4 separate regions of the Mus musculus genome follow, and all the other regions are reported to be linked to region 1. The links are microRNA targets in miRTarBase. Many come from high-throughput screens and were not tested one by one. Region 1 holds a microRNA gene; each other region holds the end of a gene's coding sequence.
Evidence for each region. Region 1 holds the annotated microRNA mmu-miR-374b-5p (AUAUAAUACAACCUGCUAAGUG, at 2,866-2,887, shown strand). A microRNA usually pairs through its seed, bases 2 to 8, with sites in the 3' UTR of a target mRNA and lowers its output. Matches are read on the target gene's strand: a 7mer-m8 pairs with bases 2 to 8, a 7mer-A1 pairs with bases 2 to 7 and ends in A, and an 8mer does both.

Region 2: miRTarBase lists Fzd5 as a target of mmu-miR-374b-5p. The part of its 3' UTR that is shown has no 7-base or 8-base seed match.
Region 3: the mRNA of Ints6 is a reported target of mmu-miR-374b-5p. The part of its 3' UTR that is shown has no 7-base or 8-base seed match.
Region 4: the mRNA of B3gat1 is a reported target of mmu-miR-374b-5p. Seed matches in the 3' UTR shown: 7mer-A1 at 3,704-3,710.

The regions. Positions count from the first base shown.
Region 1 is chrX:103,571,799-103,575,998 of GRCm38, reverse strand. Mir374b (microRNA 374b) reads left to right here and starts at 2,845; the gene lies at 2,845-2,939. All of the region lies in intron 9 of Ftx (Ftx transcript, Xist regulator (non-protein coding)), which reads left to right. Mir421 (microRNA 421) reads left to right here and starts at 3,003; the gene lies at 3,003-3,078. Mir374c (microRNA 374c) reads right to left here and starts at 2,914; the gene lies at 2,866-2,914.
Region 2 is chr1:64,731,402-64,735,401 of GRCm38, reverse strand. Fzd5 (frizzled class receptor 5) reads left to right here. Exons shown (of 2, transcript NM_022721.3): 2 at 1-4,000. The coding sequence ends at 559. Among named protein-coding and RNA genes, the nearest start is that of Fzd5, 4.3 kb to the left of the region's middle.
Region 3 is chr14:62,690,189-62,694,188 of GRCm38, reverse strand. Ints6 (integrator complex subunit 6) reads left to right here. Exons shown (of 19, transcript NM_008715.2): 18 at 515-657. The coding sequence ends at 608. It overlaps Serpine3 (serpin peptidase inhibitor, clade E (nexin, plasminogen activator inhibitor type 1), member 3), which reads right to left. Exons shown (of 9, transcript NM_001199945.1): 9 at 1,946-2,122. The coding sequence ends at 2,079. Among named protein-coding and RNA genes, the nearest start is that of Serpine3, 29 kb to the right of the region's middle.
Region 4 is chr9:26,757,352-26,761,351 of GRCm38, forward strand. It overlaps B3gat1 (beta-1,3-glucuronyltransferase 1 (glucuronosyltransferase P)), which reads left to right. Exons shown (of 7, transcript NM_001310766.1): 6 at 342-442; 7 at 1,798-3,999. The coding sequence ends at 428. Among named protein-coding and RNA genes, the nearest start is that of B3gat1, 26 kb to the left of the region's middle.

The DNA of each region.
Region 1 (4,200 bases):
CTAACTATAGAATTCTTCTAAGACACTTTAATTTTTTGTACAATGCTTAAGACTTATTACGAGTGTTATTTGCTATATATGTTGGATTATAACTTATATTTTACCAATAATTGTCTTTTTGTGATAATTGATACTGAAGATTTTCCATTTGAGCGTCTTTGAGATGAGAATACATAGTTCCGTGCAGCCCTTTCTTCTACCTAGAGTGTTTTGTGGTTAAATGTGCTTAGGCTTTAACCCAGGACCTTGCACATGCTGGGCAAGTCCTGCTCTTGTACACCTTAATCTTTTTTTTGTTTGTTTGGTTTTTGTTTTTTTTTGTTTTGTTTTGTTTTGTTTTGTTTTGTTTTGTTTTTCGAGACAGTGTTTCTCTGTATAGCCCTGGCTGTCCTGGAACTCACTCTGTAGACCAGGCTGGCCTTGAACTCAGAAATCCACCTGCCTCTGCCTCCCGAGTGCTGGGATTAAAGGCGTGCACCACCACCCCCGGCCTGTACACCTTAATCTTGAAAATCAACTTTAATCCTTAACCGCTTTGATGGTCCCCATTTTCTAGTAAAACTTTGTTTCTCCACTTGATATGTTCCCATTTAATGATCACCACAACAGCCTTCTGATGCATTCCAGTGAGGTTTTAAAGGCAATTATCTAACACCTAAGCACAATCATAAAAATTCTGTGCACCAGGAAGACTATAGTCTACCCTTGCATATCTAATATATATGTAGAAAACAAGCGCAGGAACTCTGGGTATGTGGGATAGAGCATTTTGGAGGATGTTCCTGTTGCCTGCTCATGGTAGAGCATGTCCCCAACATGTGTGTTACAAAGGGCTTAATCTCTAGCACAAAAAAAACAGGCAATATTATTCACTTCTACATTTTGTTTTTGGAATAGCTGACAATGAAAATTACAAACAGTATTTTATAAACATAATCTGTAAATGGGAAAATCACATCAAGGATACATTCCCTTTGTCTACCTTGAAATGATCCAAGGCCAGCCTTGTCTACAAAGCCAGTTCCTGAACAGCCAGGGCTACATCGAGCAACCCTGTCTCAACAGGGTAAACAAGGAATGAAAGAAAGATTGATAGTCTCTTACTATGTTAGGTAATGTAGCTTTTATGCAAACTTTAATCAGTGGTTCTGAAGGCTTAAGTTTTCAGTAACATATTGTTGGAGAAATTTGTATCCAGACATCCTTATTGGCCTTGAATTCGTTTAAAGGTATTTTCTGCTCCTTGTCTAAGGGACTGCCAGAAAATGGGTTATACTGCAAGGTTGTGTTTAGTTGAGTATGGATGAGAATTGGGCTCAAGACACTGGAGCTGCTGTTCATCTTCCTACTTGGCTCAGAGACATGACGATTTATACCAGATTGTCTGTCCATTTTAAACTTCTAACTATGAATATAGATACACCTTAAGGGTCTTCAATTTCAAGGTGCTTATTACCCTATAATCTTAAACCCCAGGCTAAGATTATTTATTGATAATGCTGCCAACAAATGTCTTTTAACTCATGAGTAACTTTTGTCGGGGCTACAAGGGGTTTTTTAAGAGTCTGTTTCCCTCTCAGATCACTTTTTCATGTTGATCTAAATGTTTGTCCACAGTTCAAATCATTTATTATTATTATTATTCAGTTCTCTCAGTAGTCAGGATATTGAATTAGTCCCAAAGATGAGAGATATTCAGGTATATAGATTAAACCTTACAGGCTGACTAGTTACTCGCTAAGAGGTTTGGGGTAGGATATATGGAGGAGAGTTTTACAGGGAAGGAATTTTTTGTCATGGATAGCTGCCATCCTCTCATTCCTTAGATATACATTTAGTTTCTTCTCCATAGAAGAGCCGTATCTAGGAACTGCCAATCCTCAGTAAGACACGGAGATAGCAGCGGTGCCCCATCATTCTCATCTGAATAGTCTCTTGTCACTGGCAGGCTTTCTCCTGAACTTTATTTTTCTTTTGAAGTGTTTAGAGACTTGAAATGTTCATTGCTTTACTTTGAAGCATCAGATATGTGTAATATCCACTCTAGGGTTTCTGATCTCAAAGCATTATAAAGCAAGGCATGTTGGCACATGCCTAGAATCCCAGCATTTCGGGTCCTTATACAGGAAGACCATCTTGACTTTGAGTCCAGTCTGGGTTTCATAACAAGTCCCTGACTGAAACAAACAACAAAATCTATGAACATGTTTTCTACTCAGACCTATCGTATTGATCTTTACTATTCAAATAATGCATTTATAATGAGGACAATTTTACTTAAGTAAATGGTTCAGATTTGGGAAAGGAAGCTCTGAAGTGTGCATGCAAACAGTGACTCTAGGGTTTGGGCATAGGCATTAGCTGGCCTGTTTGTTAATTGCGTCCACTCAATGCTATCTTAGTTATTGTTGCTGTTAATGATGGAGCGGGCAATGCAAGAATTAAAAGAAGAAAGTTAATTATTATTATACCTTTTGAATGGTCAATGGTGTTGTGGGGAGGGATCATGGACGTTTTTAATGATTCACTAATGTGAAGTTAGCCCATGTAGGAAACTCGATGATTCTTCCATTCATGCTCTTGATTAGTAATCTATTGCCTTTCTTCTTTGTTCTAAGTTAAAAGCTTTTGAAAACTTGTGTTATAGCTGAATAAAGGTTTTTGTATAAACACAGAAAAGGATGTTTGGGGAATGGTCACAGTTGACCTGAAGCCGAATTCTAACTGATAACTAGCTATGTTAGTTCTTGTGACTGTCATCCCTGGAGAGCAAGAAACAACAGCTGGCCTTGGTGATCAGGAGAACTTCATGGATCGCGCAGCAACCTGGAGTGGTGTTCCTCTGAAGAAATCCTACTCGGGTGGATATAATACAACCTGCTAAGTGTTCTAGCACTTAGCAGGTTGTATTATCATTGTCCGAGGTTATGGCTCTCGTCTATCAAACTAATCCGTAAGGGCAAGGATGGTGACTTTGTACTCACAGTGCCTAATCCGGTGCACATTGTAGGCCTCATTAAATGTTTGTTGAATGAAAAAATGAATCATCAACAGACATTAATTGGGCGCCTGCTCTGTGATCTCCATGGGCTCAGCTTGTTCCTGCCAGTGGCCTTCAACGTTCAAGCTCTCCGCAGCGTCCTTATTTCTGCAGCTCATTCCTGTGTTCTGTGTAGTATAATCATAGTGGATATATTTTACCTTTCAAACCAATTCCAATTGATTGATAATTGTGCCTCGACTGTGTTTTATAAAAAGGATTCCATATCTGGTTCTTTTCTATCCTGAGGGTGTGGAAGGAAGGGATAATAGCTCATGTACCATAAATGTGATATTTTCTATGAAATACTGTATTTATGCCTGTGTTTTGGAAATGCCTGCTTGTCATTGTTGCATCTCTGTTGTTGTTACTATAATCGCTACCGATTACTCCCTAGGTTGGACTACAGTGATCACTGAGTAGGAGCTTCGTCTTTAAAATCTGGGGTGTGCTGTTATGGTTGGTATTCATTTTCCTTTACCCGCTTTCCCCATACCTCCATTTATAATTTTATTGCTGCTCATAGCTCCAGAAGGATATAGTAACAGAGCAGGCATGGCCTCAGTGTGGTAAGCTAAGTGAGAACAGGAAGTGGAACCAGGGTAGAAAACCCCAGTCTTGCCCCTAGTGACACACCTCAAGCAAGGTTCTCCTTCTGAAAGGTCCCATTACATTCCCAAATGTAGCCACCACCTGGGATATGAGTGTTCAAATACATGAGGTAGGGCCACGGTGTTCCTTCAAAGCACCACAGAGGGCAGAATGTACACCCTGCTAGAATAGCTTTCTATGAAAGGATCCATCTCTTCACTGGAGCAGGCAGACATATGAAGAAGACAACTTGGAGTGGTCGTGAAAGGATTTGAGGTTTGGCATGGACTCTAAGAAGCACGAGATTTGTGGTTTTCCTTCTTTGTTTCTTGCTAGGTAGTCCTGGCTGTCTAGTAACTACCTACAAAGATCAAGGAGACCCCAATCTTGTAGCAATCCTGCTGCTGCCTCACAATTGTTAGGATTATAGACATGGGCACATGTTCATTAGAAAGTTGCACTGTTCTCTAATTCATCTTTTAAGATAAACTATAGAGGGATGAAGATTAGCATGTTACACCACCACAGATAGAAACCATTCTAGTATCACGAAACATCCAACTCATGTA
Region 2 (4,000 bases), not on the chromosome of region 1:
ACGAGGCTTTGTCTTGGGCCCACTGGTGCTGTACCTGTTGGTGGGCACGCTCTTCCTTCTGGCAGGCTTCGTGTCACTCTTCCGCATCCGGAGCGTCATCAAGCAGGGTGGCACTAAGACGGACAAGCTAGAGAAGCTCATGATCCGCATCGGCATCTTCACCCTGCTCTACACGGTGCCAGCCAGCATCGTGGTGGCCTGCTACCTGTATGAGCAGCACTACCGGGAGAGCTGGGAGGCAGCCCTCACCTGCGCGTGTCCGGGACCGGACGCTGGCCAGCCACGCGCCAAACCCGAGTACTGGGTGCTCATGCTCAAGTACTTCATGTGCCTGGTGGTGGGCATCACGTCGGGAGTCTGGATCTGGTCCGGCAAGACTCTGGAGTCTTGGCGGCGGTTCACCAGCCGCTGCTGCTGCAGCTCTCGGCGGGGCCACAAGAGCGGTGGCGCTATGGCCGCAGGAGACTATGCGGAGGCCAGCGCCGCGCTCACCGGCAGGACCGGGCCGCCTGGCCCCACCGCCGCATACCACAAGCAAGTGTCCCTGTCGCACGTATAGGAAGGCCTGGAGGCCGAGGCCCAGGGACAGTGCTGGAAGTTGAAGGGGGCAGTTGTTTCGCTTGGTAGCTTTGTGAAGGTCACTTCCGTTTACCTTCTTGGTGCTGATGCCCCCTCCCAGAGTGGCTTGGAGAGGAAAAGGGGGCGGTTTCAAGAGATTACCTGTCCCCAGTCTTCTACAGGGGGCTCGGCTCGCAGGGCAGTGGGTTAAGTGTATTCTAGTTTGCATTTCTTACTGCTTTCTTTAGAAGTACCTTGTTTTTAATTTATATGTATTTTAAGTTTTAACTTTGTTGCATTTTGGCAACAAAATTTACCTTTGCTTTGGGGGCTACATAATCCTCAAATTGGCATTGTAATGAGGTTACTGTTGGTTCAGGTTTTTTTGGACTGTGTGGTCTAAATTAGGAAAATATATTTCCTATACGTGTCTTTTTTTTTTTTTTTTATAAATGTGAACAGTGAAAGGCTGCTGTGAGTGGGAAGGTGTGGAGTGTGTGTGTGTGTGTGTGTGTGTGTGTGTGTTTTAAGGTAGTTTCTTCTTACAGTGCTTAAAATGTCCAGGACACTTAGAGGCCAGAGGCCATCTGCTCTTTCTGTGTCTAGCCCCCTCAAGTCCTCTGTGAAAGTAGACCATGATGTGGTTAGGACCATCCCTCACATGATAAGGTTAGAGTTTTGTGAGCCTCCTTAACCTTGCTCAGCAAGCGTTGGGCTCTTGGCAGCCGAGCTGCCATCTTTCTCATCCCCGATAGAGCCAGCCGCCCTTGTCGTGTCTTGAATAAGTTAGAGGAGGCATTATAGAGCGGACCTAAACATTTGCCTTGGAGCCTGAGGGATGGGGATTGGCTGAATGTGAATTCTGAACTAGTGAGGTGGTGAGCCTTCTGCTGGAGAGGGTGGCTCTTAAGATGCTCCAGAGAGCCCCACCCCCACCCCCCACCCCCGAGCTTTTGAGAATAAAAAATTAGGCTACAAATTTCAGTAAAAATAAATTCACTCCCTTTTTCTGGAAGTAGTTAGGACTCTTTGCTAAAGGGGGCTCTCTTTTAGATTAAAGGACAAAAAACGGATATGCTTCCAGTAATTAAAGTAAATTCCCATTGCTTCGAATCTGCGGCTCCGGCCCACCTCCTTTATCATGTTAAACAGTCCTCCTTGCTTTTCTTATTCCTCCTGGTGGAGAGTGGTGATTAGAAACCACACCCACCCACCAATGAAGTGCTCAGACTGGGGGAGGGAGGTTAGTTACCTGGGAACAAACCTTGGCTCAGGGGGAAAACAAATGGCCCTGAACTCAAGGTTTAAAGCCAGATAGATATATTCCCCAAAGCAGCTACACCATGCCCTAGTAGCCTGAAAACCAACAAGACTCCTAACTTAAGCTTTGTAATATGGGGGCTACTGTAAGTGTAAAGCCACTGCTGGAGAGACCAGGTTTCTTTCCCCCCCCTTTTGAGAGAGCCTGTATAGTGATGGACACCCCCTTACCCAGTTTCCCTGCTATTAGAAGAGTCTGTTTGCTTTCCTAATCTATTTAACTATTCATTCACTAAGAGTGTGGGGCCATTACTGGGAAGGAAATGGCAGGGCGTACCAGTGACCAAGGCAGAGCGGGGACTGAATTTAGGGATCTAAAATGGCCAAGCCACTGAAATGTCACCAAGCTTTCCTAGAGAAACAGCTGGAGTCTAGGCATCCCGATTTTCTTTTGCAGCAGCTGGGGGGTGGGTTGGGGGTAGGGAGAGTTAAGCCTGAGCCAGCTTTATGCCCCAGGGACTGAGTGGAAAAAAGCGTAGTTCCCACTGGGAATGTAAGCAGTCAGAGGGTGTTCACATTTGTAAAATACTCTGCCCTCGCTCACTGGAGTCAGAATTAGAATTTCAGTGGCTTCCACAAGACCTTGTACACCTAGATGCAGGACTCTGTGAAGGTCTTATTCCGATGCCCTTTTCCTTCCGGGAACCTCAACACACTCACTGGCTATGCACCACTTCTGTTTTTCAAATGAGGTTCTTTTCTTATCACCTTGCCCTCTTGCCTTGTTTAGCATGGTCTTCCCAGAATCTGCTGCTCCCTCCCCACCCACCCCCCCTCAGTCTGCTGTGCATAGTTAGGGTTGTTCCTCTCTCACAAAGAAAATCGAGAATTGGACATACAGTGTATCTAAAAGTTGTGGGGTGGAGCGGATGAAAGTGATTTAATTCATCTTTTTTAGAATGATTATTTTTTTCCATCTAAGCAACATGCCAAAGCTGTAAAAAAAAAGAATGATTAATAATACCCTTTGAACAATACAGCAGTTGAAGTGGGCGCAATGCTAGAGCTGGAGGCCGGGAATGCCTTTGGATGGAGCTTCAGAGGCCTGGAGTTTTCTGTCCTCTGCTCCCCTCTCCCTTACCCTTAGAGAGACAAAGCGCACCTGCTTCCCTGAAGCCAACAGGAGTTTCTAGCCAGCCCTAGGGGAGGGAAGAGGGAAGCTGCCTTCGGATGACTACCCCCTCTTCCCACCCTCTTCCCACCGCACGTTTTCCTCCACTTTGCATATCTGTACTGATAACAAGAAGCGAAATGAAAAGCCTTGGGGGAGTTCAGCAACTTGTGCACCGCCAGCCTTGTGTAGCTGAGAGGACTAGGGTTGGTCTCAGATCCAGGGCGCGTGCCTTTGGCCACCTCACTCACCTCTCAACCCCTGGGATGCTTCACAGATTAGAGAGTGAGGATTTAGGTAGTTTAAAGAAAGAAGCAGGACCTCAATGACTCCGATGGCCAGATATTAGGAAGGCTTTTTGTTTTTTAAATTTATATAATTTCCCTCCTCACATTTTGAAGTTGTCTGAGTTGGAAGAAAATCCTTTTTCTTGGTGCCTTATTGGTTTCTTCTTGCAATCCTTTTTGTCACAGTTTCCTGTGATCATTACCAGTGGCCAGGGCCAGTGTGTGTGCGCGCGCGCGCACGCTTGCCTTGTGTGCACTTGTGCGCATGTACAAGCTTAAATAATGTGCGGATGGCACTGGTTCTAAGTTGGTATTCATTAGGCTGTTCCCTCCTGGGCCAGGGCAGCACTAATCTTGACACCGGCTGCCAGGAGAAAACATCATGGATCATACACTGAACCTTAATAACAGCATCAGTGACCTGCACCGGCGAGTGTGGCTGGGAACCCCAGAGCTAGGAAGCACGGTTGTATATTTTAATGAACTGCTGCCCCTGCTAAGGAAGCTGCTTTCACTTTTGTGCTCTATCTACAGAAAGACCCAGGGGGGTAGGAGGGACAAAGCTTTGAATAAGTGCGTTCTAACACTGGCAAACAGGACTGAGCACATCACAAATCCAGGCAGGTGTGAGGTACAGCGGCTAAGAATTGTCTGCTGCCTCTCTCTGCCCTTTCTTGTCGCCAAAGTCCAATCAAGTGATCCTGGGAAAGAAACAGCCTGGCTT
Region 3 (4,000 bases), not on the chromosome of region 1:
ATCAAGAATTTTAAAAGAATATAATAATTTACCACGGAAAACGTCCATAATTTCTCAAGGATTTATGTGCCTATTTAATGTTACCTGAAAACATAATATTATGTTTTCAGGGCAGACCTGAAACTGGAAGAAGACTCTTTGTCCTGCTCTCAGCATTCCTTGGTTATCCATTAGTTCGTTGTTGGAGCTGAAACCTCCTGAGTCTTCATCCACTCTAGCCTGTGTCTGTTAGTACTGTCCTTGGTCAGCTCATGTTTAGGTAGTTGCCAATAGACTTTACGTATTGGTTTTTGTTTTTTTTTAATTATCTTTTTTATTTACAAATCAGACGTTGCCACACCTCCAGTCTCCTACCACAGTTCTTCTTTTAGCCTCCCCCTACCCCCTTCTTTTCTTTTTCATTTTACTTTAAAACAAACGACTCTTTCCCAAAGCCAGTTTTTCTCTTTGAAACATGCTAGTATATACTGTTCATTAGTAGGTAATTAAGAATGCTCTTATTTTTCTTACACAGGTTTAAGAAACGAATGCTAATAGAACAACTGGAGAACTTCTTGGATGAAATTCATCGAAGAGCCAATCAAATCAACCATATTAATAGCAATTAAAAGAAAATAGAATGAGGCCACTTATTTCATTGTCTTCTCCAAATACAAAGTAAATACAAGACTGTTGTAATCTTGTATTCATTCTTTGACATGCATTGTTGGCTATTTGAGATACTAAAAACATTCTACAGTTCCTTTCCATCATTTTACAGTGCCCTTTTCATTTTAGCTTACTTTTGTAAAGTGAAAAGTATCACAAATTTTTTTTCTTTCTTCCCTTTTTTCTTTTTCTTTCTTTCTTTTTTTTAACCAACTAAAACTATTCTTCAAATCCTCTGCTTGTCATTGGCTCTTGCGTGTCAGTTTCCCTCAGGTTATATTTTCTTAAACCAACCTTTAAAATTGTCAGCTCTGTTAAGGTTGAACTTTGCCAAAAAAAGAAAAAAAAAGAAAAAAAATTAAAAACAAGTTACTTTGTAATTTTTGGGGAAAAAAAGCACATACATTAAAAACTAGGTAATGTTTTGTATATACAGTTATTTTGGATATATTATTGTAAGTTGTACAAATGTATTTTGAAGAATATTTAAGAAAAGCACTTTTGTTATTCCATCAATAAATGCTCTATTTTACTCTTGTGTGGTTTAGGAAATAATCACATTTAAAGTAACTACTTAAAAACATTCTAAAACAATGGAATTTTAAAGGCCTTGCTTTTTAGCATTAAAAAATACACAACTTAATATTTGTTAAACTAATGTAATTATATGTTACATAGCCTGCATTGTCTTTTTAACTATTATATGTTCTTAGTTTTTGTTGGCCATGCCAATATACTCCACTCTTGCCTGGATAATGGTAATACTTACTAGGTCTGTGGCAGATAGACAGATGGGCAGTTTTTTTTAAAAACAGTTTTAAAAGTAGATGAGTTGGGGCATTATTGGCTTCTTAACACCTTTCAACCTTTCTTACAGGATTTAGATGGCACTCTAGCTGTTAGTTAAGGTGTGATAGCTTTAGGGTATATCATATTTGGAGAAGGCTAGTATGCCGACATTTGGTCCCCTCCCTCCCCCGATGCTTAGGTGAGTTTATAATATGATAATTCAGAGTGGATCTCTTGGTTCTGCTCCCTGATTCTCAGAATCTAACTGGAGAGGAAACAGACTTAGACGGCTGTACTCATTTCTTTCCCCCTTATTTGCACAGGATGAGGATATCTGGCACTCCATTCTCCATCCTCACAGGGCTGCACATCTTTACTAAGGATGTGACCATGTGTCCTGACTCATGCACATATTCATAGATCACTGCCGTGCCTTTTAGTGGTTTGGAGGGAACCAGTAGAAAAGGTTAGAGTTTTTAGATTTGGAATAACCAAGGTGAAAAAAAATACCCTTTAAATTATTTTTTTAATTGAATTATTTTTAGATTAATAATATTTGGAAATCACATACTCTTAAAAGAAATTGTAAATATTTATGAAGGAAAGCATACATAGAGAAAACATTCTTGAGGTCTGCTATTTTAGTCAAGGGGATTTGAAACTCTTCCGATACTGAAGACAAACCCTGTAAAGAAAAAGAAACATTTCATGTGACTTGTGGTATTTTCATAAAACAATTCATTAAACATTTCTAACGTCTTCACAATTTCTGGAAGTAAATGAAGATATAATTTAGAGATGGAATTATTAAAATAATTGCCTGTAATCACACTGCTAAATTTATACCAAACTATACAAAATCCAGATTAACTTTGTGGTTGTGAATTATGTGTATTAAGAGTGAGATCAGTGGGAACACTGGAGTCATTTAGATAGGAATTATATTTAGTCAGCACATGGGGGCTGTCCTTGGAAGGGTCTTTATGTCATAAGCATGGTGGAATAATTCTCAGATCTTCTTCCTTTACTACAATTTCCAAAATGAACCCCCAAGGAGTGTAAAATAACAGGATCTTCTGTGTCTGTGTTCTACCCTTCTCCCTTTCCCCACTCCTCCTCTCTGTTCCTTTCTCTGTCTGGCATAATACTGTTTACATTTCTAATACTAAAACTTAGTCTGAAAATTTGCAGCCTATCAAAAACTAAAGCTTAAGATTCCATCCACCTCAGGCTTTTGCCTTTCAAAGATGGTGGGCAAGTTAGTCAAGCTAGTGAAGTTTCTACAGAATCCTTGTTAGCCAAGGCAAGGGAGGATATATTTGGGGATGGGTATTTTATTCTTTGAGATCGTGGAATGATGTTGTGTTGGACAAGTGCTCTCCAAAGGGTTAATGTTAGAGTTCTAATTTTCCTTAATGTTCCCCTATGTGTCCTATTTGTTAGTTGATTCATTCATCAGTATAAGACTTGTAAGCTTTTAACAGTGAAGGCCGAGACTTTTTTTAGGTTATTTTTATTTTAAGAGTTTTGTCTACATGTATGTAAGTGCACTACATGCGGGCCTAGTGCTTGTAGAAGCCCAAAGAGAAGAGAGTGTGAGATTCCCTGGAACTGGAGCTGCAGACTCCTAGGAGTTTCCATGTGGGTGCTGGGAAGCAAATGCTCTTAACCATGGCCATCTTCTAGCCCCAGCTGAAGGGTCTAAGGGATTTAAAAATCCCTTAAGTGATATCAGAAAATTATCCACTTTGCCTTGGGTAATGTGAACAACCATCATCCAGAAAACTAAAAAGCTACAAGGACGGAGACTGGTGAGTTAGGGAACTGGTTTTTTTATTAGACTTGTATTTTCATTTTGATACTTGAGCGGTAAAAATTATATTGTTGAAAGTGTGGTGTGTCTTTTCTAGTCTAACAGCTTTACATGGTTTTTAATACAGTTGAATTTTAAGGATCTGTTATTTGTCTTCTAACTGTCCTCTTTACTGGATATGAGCTTTAGGCAGTGGCCCTTCTGTTCAAGGTTAGTCCTCCCTCTTTGAGAGTTTAATTTAAAACTTGCTTTTTGTTGTTACAATTATTATTTTTATTATTTTTTACATAATCTCTGCTGTCTGTTCTTAGTGACCAGTGCCGTTTTGTGTAGTCACAGTCACTGTGGGGTCGGGATAATCATGGTGAAGTTATGTTATGAACTCCTTCTTCCCAAATAATCTCCAAGTAGATAATTTTCCAGGAAATGATTACCTACATCCTTTTGTCAAGAAATGTTCTTTTGATTTCTAGCACAAATATGACAGTATACAAATGATTCTCAGATAAAATGATGTTGACAGTATTTTCTTTTAACAGTCTGTGTTAAACTATGCTAATTTTCATTCTAACTTTCGATATTCTTTCCACAAATAAAAGTGATGCCTGATGTTTAGTTAAAGTAGGTCCACCTTGGCTTGATTTTTTTAATCTTGTTCCATACTGTTGTTTTGAACACTACTGAGAATTGCCAACAGCTCTTTACTGAGAATCTCTTCCTTTTGAGGCCAATAATTGTTACAGGGAGACT
Region 4 (4,000 bases), not on the chromosome of region 1:
GTACATAGACACATACATACATACATACATACATACATGCATACATACATACATACATACATACATGTACATACATACACACATGAAGACTTGAGAAATCTTGAGATGTGTCTGTTTTCTGTAGCTTAGATTTTCTTGGTCTCAGAAGACATTTTGAATGCGTCACATATACAAACAGCAAGAAAGAGGGGATGAGTGAAGGACGGTTTAAAAACCTTGATGGAACAGAAGTAGAAAGGAAGGGGGCAGAAGAAATACTTGCCACATGTGGAAGGGAGCCAGAGGGTGACAGAATGCTCTGAGGATCAGCACCACTTTCTTTTGTGTCTCCGGATATGCAGATCTTGGTCTGGCATACACGAACAGAGAAGCCAGTGCTGGTCAATGAGGGGAAGAAGGGCTTCACCGACCCCTCAGTGGAGATCTGAAACTAAAGATGCAGGTAGGAGAGAAGGCCAGAGTGGCCAGTGCAATAGACAAGTGGCACCAGTTTGGGATACATCCTCCATCTCCAAGGACTCTTCCTTTGGGTCTTGTGGGAGCCCAAGACCCATGTGGGCAGAAGCATGGCCAAAGATTCTGTCCCCAACAACTGGCTGCTTCCATGCATAAAGCTGAGTCCTGCTAGTGTCACTCTTTCTTTGTTATTGTCCTGCTGGCCATGGGGTGTGACCCACAGAGACGAGGTGCAGTATGGACTTGCTCACGGGGTTCTGTGGATAACTTCTAACATAGAGTTGTGATGAGGATGCACCACACCAGATCAGTATCCCTGTAGCTTTCTTTTTTTATTGTCCATATTTTTATTAGGTATTTATTTCATTTACATTTCCAATGCTATCCCAAAAGTCCCCCCCACACTCCCCCACCCACTCCCCCACCCACCCACTCCCACTTCTTGGTCCTGGCATTCCCCTGTACTGAGGCATATAAAGTTTGCAAGACCAATGGGCCTCTTTCCACTGATGGCCAACTAGGCCATCTTCTGATAAATATGCAGCTAGAGACACGAGCTCGGGGGGAGAGGGGGGTACTGATTAGTTCATATTGTTGTTCCACCCTGTAGCTTTCAATAGCAGGTGAAAGAGCTCACTAGGCAAACCCTAGAGCCCACTCCCAAGCCAAGGTGCCACATTTCTGTTTGGCCTAGTGACATTTCTCTGCTCCTGGCTTTTTCTTAGGTGGAGAGCACTGAAATCAATCTCTGCCATGTAACAAATCCTATGCAATAGATCTTTTTTTTTAATTGTTTATATCCCTTTCAATTAGGTCAGAGTATCTGCCTACACTTTAGAGGTGACAGTGCTGTCAGAAAAGCTAAACAACGTGCCCAAAGTGACACATTAACCCAAGAGATTTATGCTAAATGATTGGCCAAGCAAAATATTTTTATGGGGCCTATTGTGCTCTTGCCTCTTGTATCCACTGCTCCAGAATTTGCTACTCTAGACCCTATCACAGATCCAGGGGCTCGTAGCAGACAATTACATTAAATTTTTGCCTTAGTACATCTGCAGACATTATGTTTCTGGGACTACAGGGTGTCATCCTGAATCCTGAAATCCTTGGCCAGTGCATCTTAGAATGCCTTGGTCCAAAGCTTCATCCCATCTTTTGCCCTTATATGTTACTAGAAGAACTGCTACCACTTGCTTTTCAAAAATGTCTCCAAGGGGAACCCGGGAGGCACCATGGCGTCCACTAGGGGCTTGGAATCAAGCATTCTGTTCTACTTGCAGCTCCAGCTCCACCTTGCCCCAAGCTGACACCCCTGTTGTTCCTACTTTCCCCACACAGGAACCTCCTTCTCAGACCCTGATCTTGGCCTGCCATCCTCTCCCATGGCTGATAGTCACTCTGAGGCAGACTCCAGAGGAACAACTCTTATGTATTCCGAGGGCTTCCAAGAGAGCCCAGCTTGATGTCAGGATAAAAGACAGAGAATTTAAGCACAGAATCCCAGACCTGTGGTCCTCTACAGCAACATGGCCAGGGGCTTAAAAGACCAGAGAGCTGGGGATTCCGGTTGCCAGCCAAGCCTGTGCTCGGCACATCTCCTTGGAAGCTTCCTACATTGATGGGGCTGTGTGAGCAGGGGACCCTGCCTTGGAGTGATACTGGGGTGAGGGAGGTCAGAAAACCCTACTGTGGAGTGCAGCATGGCTCTCCATGGCTCCCTGCTCTTGGGCCTAGCATGACTATACAGCATGTGCCCAGCCAGGACATTCTGAAGACCAGAGAGCAGCCTGGGGCATGAAGATGCCCCAACACTCCTCTTTCACACCTGCTCTTCCTCAGAGCTGCTCCCAAATCAGAAATACCTCTGGCTCTCCTCTGGTTCATGTTTACAGGACATAAGGCTGTCTTGGATCCCACCTGGCACCCTACCCTGCATTGGGGGAGCCTGGGCCTTCCTACAGCTCCCCCTGTACCTCAGGCTGTAGGAGAACAAAGCCCTTTCCCATGTCCCTCAAGCCTCCTGCGCCAGAATCGGCAAGGTGGTGGGCTTAGAGCCAGCACAGGTCATAGATCGACCTGGATTAAGAACCAAGTCACCCCAGTGTCCCCACTGCCTCTCCAGTACCCCTGGGCTGCAATGCCCCTTGCTGGGTTTGGACTGAGGAGACAATTGCCCTCTTCCTGAAACCCCTAAGAATCACAGATCTCGGGGCGCAGATAACAATAATAAAGAGGCAGAGCTCTTCCTGAAAAAATGTGAGACCCAGCAATCCCAGTCCTTTCCTGAGCCGATTCTGTGAGGGCTGCATTAGAATGGGCTCAAGGTCAAGAGCAGGAAATGTCTACACACTGAGAGGAAGGGCGACCTGAGCACATACTGCTTTAGAAATCACTCTGTCTCACACAAAATGGGAAAGCTTGCAAAGCCAACCCGCCTCGTGCCCACTGCCCCTTCTCCACCCCGGACAGAACAGTATGCTCACGCTGTTGCACCTACCCAGCCGCCCAAAAGAACCATCTGCCTGGGTGTTCAGCATCTGAGAGGCCCCTGGTCCTGGCTACATGGGGCCCTCTGGTGGTAATCTCACTCCAGCTCCTACAAGTTGGAAGCACAATTTTCCTCCCAAGTGGGGGAAAGGAAAGGGCGCAAGCCCACTGAAGAGGCGTTTATTTTTTAACTGCTAACAGCTCCCCCCACCCCGCACCTTCCCCCAGTTCCCCCTCCCCCCGCGCTCCATTAAAACTCATAGGACAGGCCCGGGAGTCATTCCGAATCCACTCTCGGGTGGATGAGACTCAGTCCACACATCTAACTTTCAGAGAATAGCATCAGCTGCCTATGTTGAAATGAATTTAACTTCTCACAGTCTTCAGGACACCACCTGATGGGATCAGACCCCACAGCCCCCTGTAGGACATCTCCCCCTAGCCATTTATACTTTGGATATTGTTTTGGAAATTTACTCCTTGGCATCAAATGAGAGGCACCGGGAATTTATCCGATGGGTGAATTTATGTCTGGGCACCCTACTGCTCATTCATAGAAACTGTCAGTGAATGCCAAGGTCAAACGGGCTGCTAAGGCTGCCTTCTTAGCCAAACTCAGTGCTCTTTTTAGGAAACTGAAAAAAAACAAAACAAAACAAAACAAAAATGGGGATTTTTACTTTTCACGTTTTGGCAGATGCTACTTCAGTTGTTTTCATGTAATGTCCTCCCTTCACTGCATGTGTATTTATTTAAAATTATAACCCTGGTGGACTGCGGCCTTCATCTCTGTTGGGAATGAGTTTGTTGCAAATCAGAACTGGGTCCATGATGACAACTTTCCCTCCAAACCCAGGCTGCAACCCCGCTCCCTCGATGGAAAGCCCCACCACAGAAGAGTTAAGCCAGGGGTTCAGGAGCACCATGGGCAAAGGCTGGTGTGAGGGTGGGGCCCAAGCTGCTGCGCCATCTGGTCTGTTTTTATTTAACTGTATTTAATTTGTTTTCAAAATTAAAAGTCAAATATGGTTTTTAACAGTTGTAATCCTCTTCA